Bombyx mori: one gene and its partner. Each later gene encodes a partner of the first gene's protein in a complex. Links are inferred from orthologs where the notes say so. Each region holds a gene or a part of one and is shown on either strand. Other genes may lie near its edges.

Region 1 (3,500 bases):
GCCTTAAGTCGGTTAAAATAATGGGGTCAGTGACCTGCAGATCATGCTGTCGTCCGCCGTGGACCAGCACTTGAACTGTTGCTTCCACTGTTCCACGGAGACGCCGGAGTTGCAGAGCACGAGGGCGCGCTTGCGCACCGTGCACACCGCCGTCACGCCCACCAGCGACTTGCCGGCGCCGCACGGCAACACTATCACGCCTGACCTGGTACATACAGGAAGTGCCGTGCATTACTGAGTCGTCGTGGCCTAAAGGATAAGACGTCCGGTGCATTCGTGTCGAGCGATGCACCGGTGTTCGAATCCCGCAGGCGGATACCAATTTTTCTAATGAAATAAGTACTTCACAAAAGTTCACGATTGACTTCCACGGTGAAGGAATAACATCGTGTTATAAAAATTATCGTTTTAAAATTCGGCAACACAATCAGTAATATGTAAACAGGCAAATAAGTAATTGGTGGTAGGACCTCTTGAGTCCGGGCGGGTGGGTACCACCACCCGCCTATTTCAGCCGTGAAGCAGTAATGCGTTTCTCACCCGACCCCGAGCTTCGATTCCATCAATTGCCTATGTTAGTCAGCGTGCAATGCATGATGTCATCGTGTCAAAAATCACTGCCTTGCTGTATTCCTGTGACTGAATAGACTAATTTTGTCAGAACCAAACAAAGCAATGGCTATTCACCTCGCCCTGCCGTTGCCGAACATTTTCCTCAAGCTCTTCTCTTGATAAGGTCGCAAAACGGCAGTTGGTTTAAGATCAATGTTGATGTCCGGATTGATGGAGTCGTTCCGGAAGTCGTACTCAGCCAGCAATGGATGCTCCAACTCGATACAACGTTTTTGTATTACCTTAAAACAAAATGGTTTATAAAACAATTTTTTTTTTTTTTTTTGAACACACAGTATGTTTTAAATACCTTTTTTTATTATTTTTTCCCTATCTAAGCTTGATGGTCTTGAGAGACCATTTCAGCGTAGCCTTAACAAGTAGGTGAGCTCACGGGGCTTAAACCTGACGACGTTGCTAACATTAGCCCTAGCAAGAGCCGTGCTTCGCAGAATCTACCACCGGATCGGAAACGCGACCTACTGAGAAACTCAGTGGGCTGGGTCGGTGGGTAAGTTTACTCGCCGAGCCCTTCGTCGCAAGCGACGGGTTCGACGAAAGTGGTGACCGATGCTACGGTAGGACCTCTTGTGAGTCCGCGCGGGTAGGTACCACCACCCTGCCTATTTCTGCCGTGAAGCAGTAATGCGTTTCGGTTTGAAGGGTGGGGCAGCCGTTGTAACTATACTTGAGACCTTAGAACTTATATCTCAAGGTGGGTGGCGCATTAACGTTGTAGATGTCTATGGGCTCCAGTAACCACTTAACACCAGGTGGGCTGTGAGCCCGTCCACCCATATAAGCAATAAAAAAAATGTATGGGTTGCTAAAATTTTCAATAGGATTAATATTCATTGGCACACTCACTTCGATTTTGTCAGGATCCACTTCAAAGGCAACAGCTGCGTTGGCAGTAACACCAGAGGTCTCCTCCTCGTCGTCATCCTTATCTAGTTGCTGATAGAACTGACTGATGTCGTCGGGCACAGCGCCGTTCGCCGCCGGTGGTTTTTCTTCACCTGATCGTTTGAGAAGCAGTCAAGTAAACTTAAGACGCAGATGGACAGACAGTTACGAGATTATTTTAAGGATAAGTTTTATAGGTCACTACAGAAACATACACAAATTGCTTCTTACAAATGGTACGTCATCGTTTTAAAATTCGGCAACACAATCAGTAATATGTAAATAGGCAAATAAGTAATTGGTGGTAGGACGTATTGTGAGTCCGCACGGGTAGGTACTATCACCCTGCCTATTTCCGTCGTGAAGCAGTAATGCGTTTCGGTTTCAAGAGTGGGGCGGCTGTAACTATACTGAGACCTTACTCATATCTCAAGGTGGGTGACGGTATTTATATTGTAGATGTCTATGAACTCTGGGCTCGTCCACCCACCTAAGCAATAAAAAAAGCAAATATTTGTAACGTAACAATTTTTTATTTATTTTACCACCATTAATTACGAAAATTATAATTTTGCGGGTTTAATTTTTACTACAAGATGTTATTCCTTTGCCGTGGAAGTCAATCGTGAACATTTGTTAAGTACGTATTTCATTAGAAAAATTGGTACCCGCCTGCGGGATTCGAACACCGTTGCATCGCTAGGTACGAATGCACTGGACGTCTTATCCTTTAGGCCACGACGACTTTCCACTGTAATGCACACTATGCTATTTTTCCACTATATGACTAGTCCTGTTTATTCAAATCACACATAACATTTTAGTTATTATGACTTGAAAACAACCTCCGGCGTCACTCTATAAGTTAAGAGAGTATCTGAATTGTTATTTTTTTGTTAAATCTAACAAAACCTAAAAGAATGTTTTATAAACATTTCGTGTTTATGTATATCTATACTAATCAAAAATATTGGGACATATCACTTGATGGAAGTTTTGTTGCTCTATGTTAATTGTTTCCAATTTAGATAAACCCTTTGTTTGCAAAATAGTCAAAGGCGATCACTAGGTACCATTCGTTCGATGTTAAAACCGCGACCGCTTACAGGAAACCAACTCTAAGTATTACGCTTCGACGCCGCGTCTTGCTGAGGCATACGTCACCTGGTTTGGCGAGGGACGTGGCTGGCTTGGCGGGCAGGTCGTTGGACAGCAGATCCTCGTCGCCGTCGCGTCGCAGCCTGCACTGTTGAATCACTGGATCTTTCAATAGCTTCTGCAGTACCTCCACGTGCTTACTCTCGACTAGATACCTGCAAACTTTATATTATTACAAACAGTATTCTTGTACTACGTTTTTATATACGGTAGGCAGCGGCTTGGCTCTGCCCCTGGCATTGCTGAAGTCCATGAGCGACGGTAACCACTCACCATCAGGTGGGCCGTATGCTCGTCTGCCTATAAGGGTAATAAATAATAAAAAAACTCTAACTGTTTAAATACTCTTCTTTCTGGCTCTGAATAAACAGCTTTTAATGAACTTTGTGAAGGCATATTTTGCTATTAGCATCAGGAGGGTGGTCGCTATTTATGCAATGAATATTAGTAAATTCGGTGGCACACTCCTAGGCAAAAAATTCCTCAGAGTCGTCCCCATAATACATATGCTACACAGCACAGGGAGCATTGAAGTCCTTATACCGGTACGAACATGTTTTTCACCAGCTCATCTGAGAAGCTACTAAAAATCGTGATCGAAAAATAAAATGATTAGCCTTACCTAGCTTAATTTTATTTTAGATGGATGACAAGCAATGAAGCAGAACTGACCTGTTATGTTTTAACACCAGCTTCACTTTACCATAAGAGAGGGTACATAGTTTAATGAACTCTACGATGCCGGCCGGTACAGCACACTTGCTCAGTCTCTGCAGGTACTCAATAATGTCATTGGTCTGTAGGCCCACCGAAACTGCCGCGTA
Region 2 (9,509 bases), on another chromosome or scaffold:
CAAGAAAAGGTTGATTCAGTTTGCCAATGGGCGGGCAAGAAATCTTATGTTAGCGTATGAAAAATTTTGCCAAGCAAGTAGTAGTATTAAGGATATTGTACACATGGATGACAATACCTATTTCGTGAAAAAGAAGACTGATCTGTATGTTGTGGACTGTGAATTGGCAACATGTGACTGTCCGTATGGTGCTGGGGGCCGATTTTGTAAACATATCTGCGCTGTAGAAAGAAAACATGGGACTGTACTTACCACATCGCTACATTTGAATGACTGTGATCGTCAACAATTTGCAAAATTCGCCCTGGGTGACCAGTTTTTACCGTCGTTCTTTAAAAATATTACGGGCACAAATAGTGAAGACAGCCAAACTGACTCTATTACACCAGATGATGTTGTACCAAACACTTTTGAACTTCCAATAAATCGAGCGGAAAACAGTGTAATTATAAACAATGAAAACTTTGACACTGCTATTCAAAATATTAAAGCTCAGTGGCAAAGAATTACTGATATCTTGGAAAAGGATTCAAATGCTGCATACACAAACATTCTTACAAAGTTTGAATCTGATTTGTCGAAGCTACAAACTCCATCGAGTATTATATCATTTAGAGTTGAAAAAAATGTCGCACGAAAATCTCGAAAAATTAATGTACAACCAACATCGCTCGCTCGCCGCAAAGAAAGGTTTACCATGCAGTGGAAGGATTCAATCAGGACGACCAGCCAAGTCAGAAACGGTGAAAAGAAAACGTGTTCATAATATTGCATCTAATATTGATGATAATGAGCCTCCTGCCAAAAAACATTAATTTTATAAAATTACTTAATTATATTTGTATAAGTACCTACGTTGATTGCCTGCAATACAATACCATATTCATACATCTTTGAATATATGTAGATATATTTTGATCCTAATAAAAGGTTAAAGACTTTGTTTGAGTTTTCCTGCCCATTCATTAAACAACACAAAAGTGCCTTCGAACAAACACGGATTTGTGGCGTTGGAGTCACTAGAAGTCTTATCAGGTTAACGTTGGCTTGCATCTAATGACTTTTTTTTTTTTTTTTTTTTTCCTACCTAAGCTGATAGCCTTGAGAGGCTATGTCAGCGTAACCCTAACTTTAGTAGGTGAGCTCACGGGGCTCAACCTGACGATGTTGCTAACACGAACCCTAGCAAGAGCCGTGTTTCGCAGAATCTACCACCGGATCGGAAACGCGACCCACTGAGAAGATCCGGCGAGAAACTCAGTGGGCTGTGTCTGAGAGTTAATTTACTCGTCGAGCCCTTCGTCGAAAGCGACGGGTTCGACGAGAACGGTGACCGGTGCTTGAAGTACCTAGAAGCACCGTTAGTGGATCGGGAGCATCCGAGATGACGTGTTTTGGGCGACGTCGACTGCTTTCCATTCTGTCCGCAGGATCGGGAATGTAGTTACCGGCGGCCACGATGAGAGGGTTCTCGTGTCGTGCCGCTTTATCGAAGTGGCGCATTGACGCCGACTGTATATACTTACTGATGGACTCTAAGTCCAGGTCGTCATGGAGGTCGACGTTCCTGACGAACCACGGGGCTCCGACGGCTATCCTGCAAAAACGGGATTGAATGATTTGGAATGACTTTAAGTGAGTGCGGGCCGCGTGAGCGAACACTACACTTGCATAGGTCATGACGGGGCGTATGCAAGTTTTGTAGAGTGTCACCTTATTTCTAAGGGACATTTTACTTCGCCTACATATCATCGGGTAGAGACGTCCTAGAATGAAGGCGGCACGGTCGCGTACCGTCTTGATGTGGGGGCGGAATGTCATCCTACTGTCGAGGGTGACGCCTAAATATTTGACCTTCGGGGCCCACGGTATGGGCTGGTCGAACATCGTGATTGGGCGAACGGCGGGGGCGGAGGTGTTGACGCGCCTAGTCGGGAGGGATGACGTTTTATACAAAACATGCCTTTTTATACCTGCAGTTGGTCTTGCAAACTGCAGTGAGTTGAGGGAGCAATTTTTGGAGTTTGCTGTTGTCGTTTTGTTTCAGCAGGCAGGTAAACTTATCATGTCTTATGTGGTATCATTGAATAGGTATTGAACTATCCTTTAACCTTATGTTAAAAAATATATGTATTTTTTTAAATAAAAAGAAGTAAATAATATTTTTCAAAAAATGTACAGATGTGCGATTTCATTGCACCCGAGTGTAGATATATTTTGATCCTAATAAAAGGTTAAAGACTTTGTTTGAGTTTTCTTGCCTATTCATTAAACACAAAAGTGCCTTCGAACAAACACGGATTTGTGGAGCTTAATCAAGGCGCATACTTGCAAACCCGTGCGCGATTGGAGGACGCGTACCCTGAATTGAACACGTGTTTAGAAGGGCAGTTGGCGTTGCAAACCCGTGCGCGATTTGAGGACACGTGCCTTGAATTGAACACGATTTTGTAAAGGAAGCTAGCGCGACAAACCCGTGCGTGTTTCAAGGCAGTACTGCCTCCTAATGAACACGGAAATGGAAATACGCTACCCGGTCGAGGGGGGTAACGGACCGGGTTATGTCGGACTCCGGCGCCTCCTGGCCTGGCCTCCTGAGAGGAAGAAGGGGAGAAGAGAAGGGCCGAGGTCCTTCACCTGCCCCAATTTCTCATAGGAGACTACGCCTTGAAAAAGGCGCGCGAAGCACTTACCCCGCAGAACGACTACCGACTAAACCCCATCGAGCTCCACCACACCGACTACACGAAACTTACGGTACCGCGATGCGCGCCGAAAGTCTCGCCTTAGGCGGTACCCGTACTAATGTTAAGACGGGATTTCATCCCCGGGAAAATCCCGTAGTCGTCGTGGCCTAACGGATAAGACGTCCGGTGCATTCGTGTTGAGCGATGCATCGGTGTTCGAATCCCGCAGGCGGGTACCAATTTTTCTAATGAAATACGTACTCAACAAATGTTCACGATTGATTTCCACGGTGAAGGAATAACATCGTGTAATAAAAATGAAACCCGCAAAATTATAATTTGCGTAATTACTGGTGGTAGGACCTCTTGTGAGTCCGCACGGGTAGGTACCACCACCCTGCCTATTTCTGCCGTGAAGCAGTAATGCGTTTCGGTTTGAAGGGTGGGGCAGCCGTTGTAACTATAATTGAGACCTTAGAACTTATATCTCAAGATGGGTGGCGCATTTACGTTGTAGATGTCTATGGGCTCCAGTAACCACTTAACACCAGGTGGGCTGTGAGCTCGTCCACTCATCTAAAAAATCTGTCTCTGTAATAAATTAACTTTTTAAACAAGATTTAAATATAAAACAGTAAAATTGCTCGTGTTTTGGATATAAAACTGCAAAAATATTCGTAAAATATCGAAAACCGAATCAGAGCACATCACTTTCCACCTGGTCTTGTCTGCCCTACCCCTAGAGTGTATATAAAAAACCGGAGGCGCGGAGGGAGAGCAGTCCTCGCCAATATTAGTTAGTATTTAAAGTATTAAGTACATTTTGGCAAAACTAGCTTCACATATCATTAATATTAATAAATTCAGTTGTCAGTCCTAAGCCTGAGAAAGCATGAAGGATTGTTTTCATTTAAAAAAATGTATTAAAACCATTTCATATGTTATAACTGTTCCTATAAGTGGACATATTCTATTTAAAACATTATTAAACCTGTTGCAAAACAAAACGCTGTTATATTGGAACAGGCTACTGGAACTGTTCTTTCGCTGGAACAGGAACAGGTGGAACAGGTCTCTAATTTCACCTGTTACAGACCATCCCTAGTTTGGACAGGCAAAGGGAGATTAGTCGATTTAGCAAAGGATTCTGTAATGGGAACTATCACGGAAAAAAGATTGCTCCAAAATCGCGAACAGTAGTTGGCTTATGTAAATTTTAACACCACGTTGCATGATTGAAAAATAATACCCACTAGATAAATTTTCCATTCTTACTTCTCAAATGAAAATAATTACCTGTGTCGAAACTATTCCAGCCTTCACACTTACACAATTATCACCTGATCAACTTTGACTACCGTGGCCCCGGCACATCTTACGTTCTTCGATAGTCTACCTACCTACTACTTCGATAGTATACTTAAGTGTCAATAAATTCCCACTATTTTACTGGAACATCTTTAATTTATTTCATCTTAACACGTTTCATTCCATTTAGTTTCATTAAATTTCATCCAGAGCATCCATTAGTCACGTCCACTGAACTCTCAGTTAATAATCCTTGTTTTACTGAGACGATTTTATTTCATCCCATTGAGGGAGTCCGTATAAAGTCCCTTCTTTATTTCGCGGGAAAATCGTGTTTTATGTAATTAACACCACACTTGAAACAATAGGAGTTTTATTGTTGCAGCGGCTTATACAGTTCTAAGTTATACCATTTTTTTTTTTCGTCCTTTAAATATTCAGCGGTAAAAAAAATTTTTTTGGGTATTTTATGTCCAGCTCAACTAAGACCTTTAGGTCATGTCTTATTTTAATTCATATTCTTAATTTTATGAAAAATTATATAATGGAAAGAAGTGAAATGCAATGAAGATGATTAATTTGAGACAATAATCAAGTAAGATGAAATTAAATATAGTGAGATGAGATGATATGGGATGAAATATAATCTCAGTAAAATGGTGGTCATTTAATGAAAGGACATGGGCCATTTTCGGCCCAGCTACTCGTGCCCTCAAGGACATTAATAAAATATCTATAGAAAAAAACATTTCATTTTTACATACTTATTATAAAATTTAAGGGTATTTTAATGGTGGGATAATCAAAAGCATAAATAAAAAGAAATACTTAAGCATGATTAAGCTACATTGATAATATTGAAGGAGCTGCCATGGGTAAAATATATTTATATTTTAAATAATTCATATTAAATCTTCTTAAAGAAAACAATGTATTACAAAAAACTAGCAAAATATATTAACATATTTAATCGATAAATATAAATAATAGATAAGCTGATGATGATGTTCGTTTAGTGGGGCGTGCAATGTATGGTCCATGTCCTTTTTTCAGTGGACTTTTTGGAGGATTCCGGGGAAGTTATGTTCAGCGGCTTTGTTGCATTTTCCCACATTTGTGAACTTTCACAGATATTAAACAGTTAATAAATCACCGTTATTACACATTTAAACCTGAAGAAATACTAAATCGACAAAATAAAACAAATCACACAACTTCACTCCTCGCGTTCCCGCCAAAAAGTCCCGGACTCCCGGCGGTAAAAAGGTCCCGTGTCACAGACTATCTTCTTTTTCCCACCTCTTGTGCGATCCGGCTTACGCATCATAAAACATCCTAGTTTCATATAATGTCACTCAAATTTAAAGACTAACATTAGTTAAGTTCATCTCATTTAGCTTCATATGAATTCTGATTTATCAGATTAGAATTTCTACGTGCTCTTTACGTAGAAATTATATTATAGCTGGACTAGAAGGTCTTGTAACCGCTGGCTGTAAGCCAATTGCAATATTGAAAAATTAAGAAGAACAAAAACACTTCAATTTTATTATCTACTTAGAGACTCGGCTAAAGATATTTATTTCAAATTTAAGTAATAAGTTCGTAATGTCCAAAACTCCAATAAAAGAATTGGCTATCAACTTTGTACCTAGAGGTAATTATTTACATAGAGTTTGATTTATAAACTATTATGGTTACGTTGCTGGGTATCAATATCACTTATTATCAAGTGGGCTGTGAGTTTGTCTGCCCATCATCGATTAAGAAGAAAAAGTTTAACAAACAAAATTTCTGTTGTCCATGTCGATTGAAATAGTAAGTAATTTAATAAATGATATTATTTCAGAGATTACAACTCCAAATAAAGACCAACCAGGCTTATCAAAGACTGTATTTTCACATGTGTCTTCGTTTCATAGTTTGTTAATTGATTGGGTCAAACTAAAAGATAAAGGTTCTAAGTTTTGTAAAGGGATCTCATCAGTGAAACTGCACGAGTATAATGATGATTATTATCCGCACCTATTGAAGCCATTGACTGAGGGCTTAGTTGAAATTATAGATAGCTTTCAAAATATTATCGAGGGTAAGTAAAATGATGTATGTTAGTCTAACAATCAACTACAATATTGGAGTATGTGAGACTACTTTTAATAATGTTACAGTTTAAACAATTTAATGGAATGGAATATACATTAACTTTCTAATCAATCTAATTCTAATGCAAAACTGAACTATGTCATATTTAAATGTTTCATTTCAGGTATAAAAATACTAAAAAATCAACTGGATTCACTATCAAAATTGCAGTCGACTGACCAGCCAGTAATTTTGACATGGTCAGTAGGCCGAATTCATGCTTGTGTTAAAAATACATATGAATCACTCTTAAAGGAGTACAAACTAAAAAAAATTGTGACAGGTGAAAATTATTATTATTTATTGAAACATACTGGTGGTAAGACCTCTTGTGAATCCGCACGGGTAGGTACCACCACCCTGCCTATTTTAGACGTGAAGTAGTAATGCATTTCAGTTTGAAGGGTGGGGAACCTGTTTTAATTATACTTGAGGCATTAGAACTTATATCTCGAGGTGGGTGGCGCATTTACGCTGTAGATGTCTATGGGCTCCAGTAACCACTTAACAACAGGTGGGCTGTGAGCTCGTCCACCCATCTAAGCAATGAATAAAAACAACATGCCCGTGATTACATTAGAATTCTAAGACAAGTATTCCCTTTTTTAAAACCATTCAATTCTATGCAGGCCTCCAAAATAATTAATAAACAAAATAAATAATAATAATTAATAGAAAATTTTTGGGATACAAAACATAATTTTCAGAAAATATCCGGCTTTATTTGCTACAGAATAGATTTCACATACTGCTTCCTGACAACTCTGTGATAACTCAATAATTTACATTTTTATCTTATTGGTAATTTAAGGTAAACATAATTCATCATCATCATCATCTCAGCCTGTCCATTGTCCACTGCTGAACATAGGCCTCTCCAAGTGATCTCCAGTGCAGCCGGTCCGTTGCCACCTGCATCCAACGTGACCCAGCGGTTCTTACCAGGTCGTCGGTCCATCTCGTAGGTGGCCGTCCCACACTGAGCTTGCCAGTACGTGGTCTCCACTCGAGGATCTTTCCGCCCCATCGGCCGTCCGATCTTCGCGCTATGTGGCCTGCCCACTGCCACTTCAGTGTGCTAATCCTACGGCCTATGTCAGTAACTTTGGTTCTTCTACGGATCTCCTCGTTTCTGATTCGGCCCCGTAGAGAAATACCAAGCATAGCCATCTCCATAGCTCGCTGCGCGACGCTGATAATTATAATTATAAACATAATTAATGTATATAATTTCTGTTTTCAGAAAACATAGCACACTGTAGAGATGAAAGCCTCATTGAAGTTTATGTTAGTTCTTGGGAATTTGACCCATATTTGAACATGGAAGAAAATGCTTATTTATTTGCAGAAATTGGTGTTGCTGGAATTTCTTCATTTAAAAAAATAATTTAATGCTCATTCGTCAGTATTGTCTATGTCAAGTCATTTTTGGATGTTTTAAAAGTCACAGACAATTTAATTATAAAGCTTTAAAGGCCTTATGACTAAGTGTAAACTTACTATTTTTATCTTGTACTGTAAATTGTACAATTATTTAGTATAATCCTATAGAAGTTTCAAATACAAAATAACATTTACTGATATACATGAGTGTAGTAGAGTAAAATTGACTGTATCTTTTCTATAAATTATATTGTATTAATTTGTAATAATTAAAAAATATGTAAAAACTTGTGTTTATCTTTCTAATTATATTTAGTAATAGATATAAAAAAATATGAGTAAAAAATCCATTCCCAAACTCGGAACAGTGATAAATTACTACCCTATCTTGGCTATAGAATACCATCTCTCATATTTACCCGTAAGTGACGCAAAAAGCGATTAAGAGAGTTACTGGAGAATGGGCAGCAGGGTTCTCTGACGATCGTCAATCGCCATTTACTTGTGGGTATGGGGTTTATAGGGAGGTATCACCATTTGGCCTATTTTTGTTGGGATGTTATCAAGAATTTCGGTTTAAAGGGTAGGACAGCCATTATACAACACAAATGAGACTGTTAACCTCATGATTTTTATGAGCTCTGGTAACCACTTTACACTTGTGAGACCGCGGGATGGATGTAATATGCTCTGTATTAATCCTGTCCCGCCGTCGCAATAGCCCCGACTGGGCTCCGGCCCGGTCTGGGGTAGGGCACCGGCTGTGAGCGGCAAGAGTTTTTACCGAGGTTTAACTTCCACATACCCACCTGCCGCGCGGTTGGGGATCCAGCGATTTTCTCCACAAGACTTGCTTAGATGGATGGACGAGCTCACGGCCTCTTAAGTGGTTACCAGATATCATAGACATCCGCAATGTAAATGCCGCCACCCAGCTTGAGATATGAGTTCTAAAGTCTCAGTATAATTACAACGGCTGCCCCAACCTTCAGACCGAAACGCATTACTACTTCACCGCAGAAATAGACAGGGTGGTGGTACCCACCCATGCGGACTCACAAGAGGCCCTACCACCAGTCTGAGTTAAATGTACTAATATTAAAATAATAATAATAAGTATAACAGTAGAAATATCTTACAACTTAATCTATGAAAGCGCTTTATATGGTCTACCGGGAAGAGAGTGGGCGATTAACCGTAGAACTCCTCAATTTAACCAAAAACACCTACGTATTGTTACAAAATTAGGTTCATGGTAAAAAGGTTCTGACCTCGACATTCACAATTATTGCCTCTAATTTACATAAGGTCAATTTAAGATGTGATATGAAAGCGAGGCTAGTCGTTGCCACGGCAATCGGACCCAAACAAACCTAAACGAACCACCGACTTAACTAAAATTTAATGCAGACCTTACAAATGAATCTTGATAGCTAACAGAGGTAACTATCTACACGAGACTTAATAATAAACTTAATGGCTCGGTTGATAAAATAGCTAGCAAAAAGGTGGTTGTTATTTTTTTCATAATTCAAACTTATGATCTTTCACTAAAGCGTGACTGTGTTATAATAACTCCACCGATGTACATAACATATTACGCTTTCAAGATAGTATATAGATACAGTCGGTCGGAACTTGTAGTGTAGATACATACCACAGCTTATGTTTTTAATTCTGCGCTAAGTGATCACCGAAGCCCTTTACTGGTGGTAGGGTGTCTTGTGAGCCCTGCCATGAAGCAGTAATGCGTTGAAGGGTAGGACAGCCGTTGTATAGAGCGCTGACTTTGAACTCATATATGAAGGTGGGTGGCGGCATTTACGTTGTTGATGTCTATGGGCTCCAATGACTCCGATGACTTAACACCAGGTGGGCAGTGTGCAAGTCGCTCCATCTCAGCAATAAAAAAAGGAAACCCTTGATCCGTGCGATCTAAGACTCAATTGTATTACATAACAGTTTTCAAATACAAGCACTGTTTCGCGG

Evidence for each region.
Region 2: general transcription and DNA repair factor IIH helicase subunit XPB (region 1) and DNA-directed RNA polymerase II subunit Rpb4 share a complex: the UniProt entries of both Homo sapiens proteins name them as parts of the TBP-based Pol II pre-initiation complex. The link is inferred for Bombyx mori from reciprocal best matches to the Homo sapiens genes ERCC3 and POLR2D.

What each region holds. Positions count from the first base shown.
Region 1 is NC_085117.1:11,798,180-11,801,679, forward strand, and holds part of general transcription and DNA repair factor IIH helicase subunit XPB, read right to left. Parts: coding exon 3,349-3,500; intron 2,832-3,348; coding exon 2,683-2,831; intron 1,632-2,682; coding exon 1,480-1,631; intron 855-1,479; coding exon 688-854; intron 206-687; coding exon 35-205; intron 1-34. UniProt on the Homo sapiens protein: ATP-dependent 3'-5' DNA helicase/translocase. Binds dsDNA rather than ssDNA, unzipping it in a translocase rather than classical helicase activity. Component of the general transcription and DNA repair factor IIH (TFIIH) core complex.
Region 2 is NC_085114.1:9,604,501-9,614,009, reverse strand, and holds the start of DNA-directed RNA polymerase II subunit Rpb4, read right to left. Parts: upstream 5,268-9,509; 5' UTR 5,158-5,267; exon of another isoform or gene 5,149-5,157; intron 4,351-5,148; 5' UTR 3,984-4,350; intron 1-3,983. Other genes in the region: uncharacterized protein LOC119628842, read left to right, coding at 5,604-5,652, 5,845-6,084, 6,262-6,420, 7,381-7,529. UniProt on the Homo sapiens protein: Core component of RNA polymerase II (Pol II), a DNA-dependent RNA polymerase which synthesizes mRNA precursors and many functional non-coding RNAs using the four ribonucleoside triphosphates as substrates.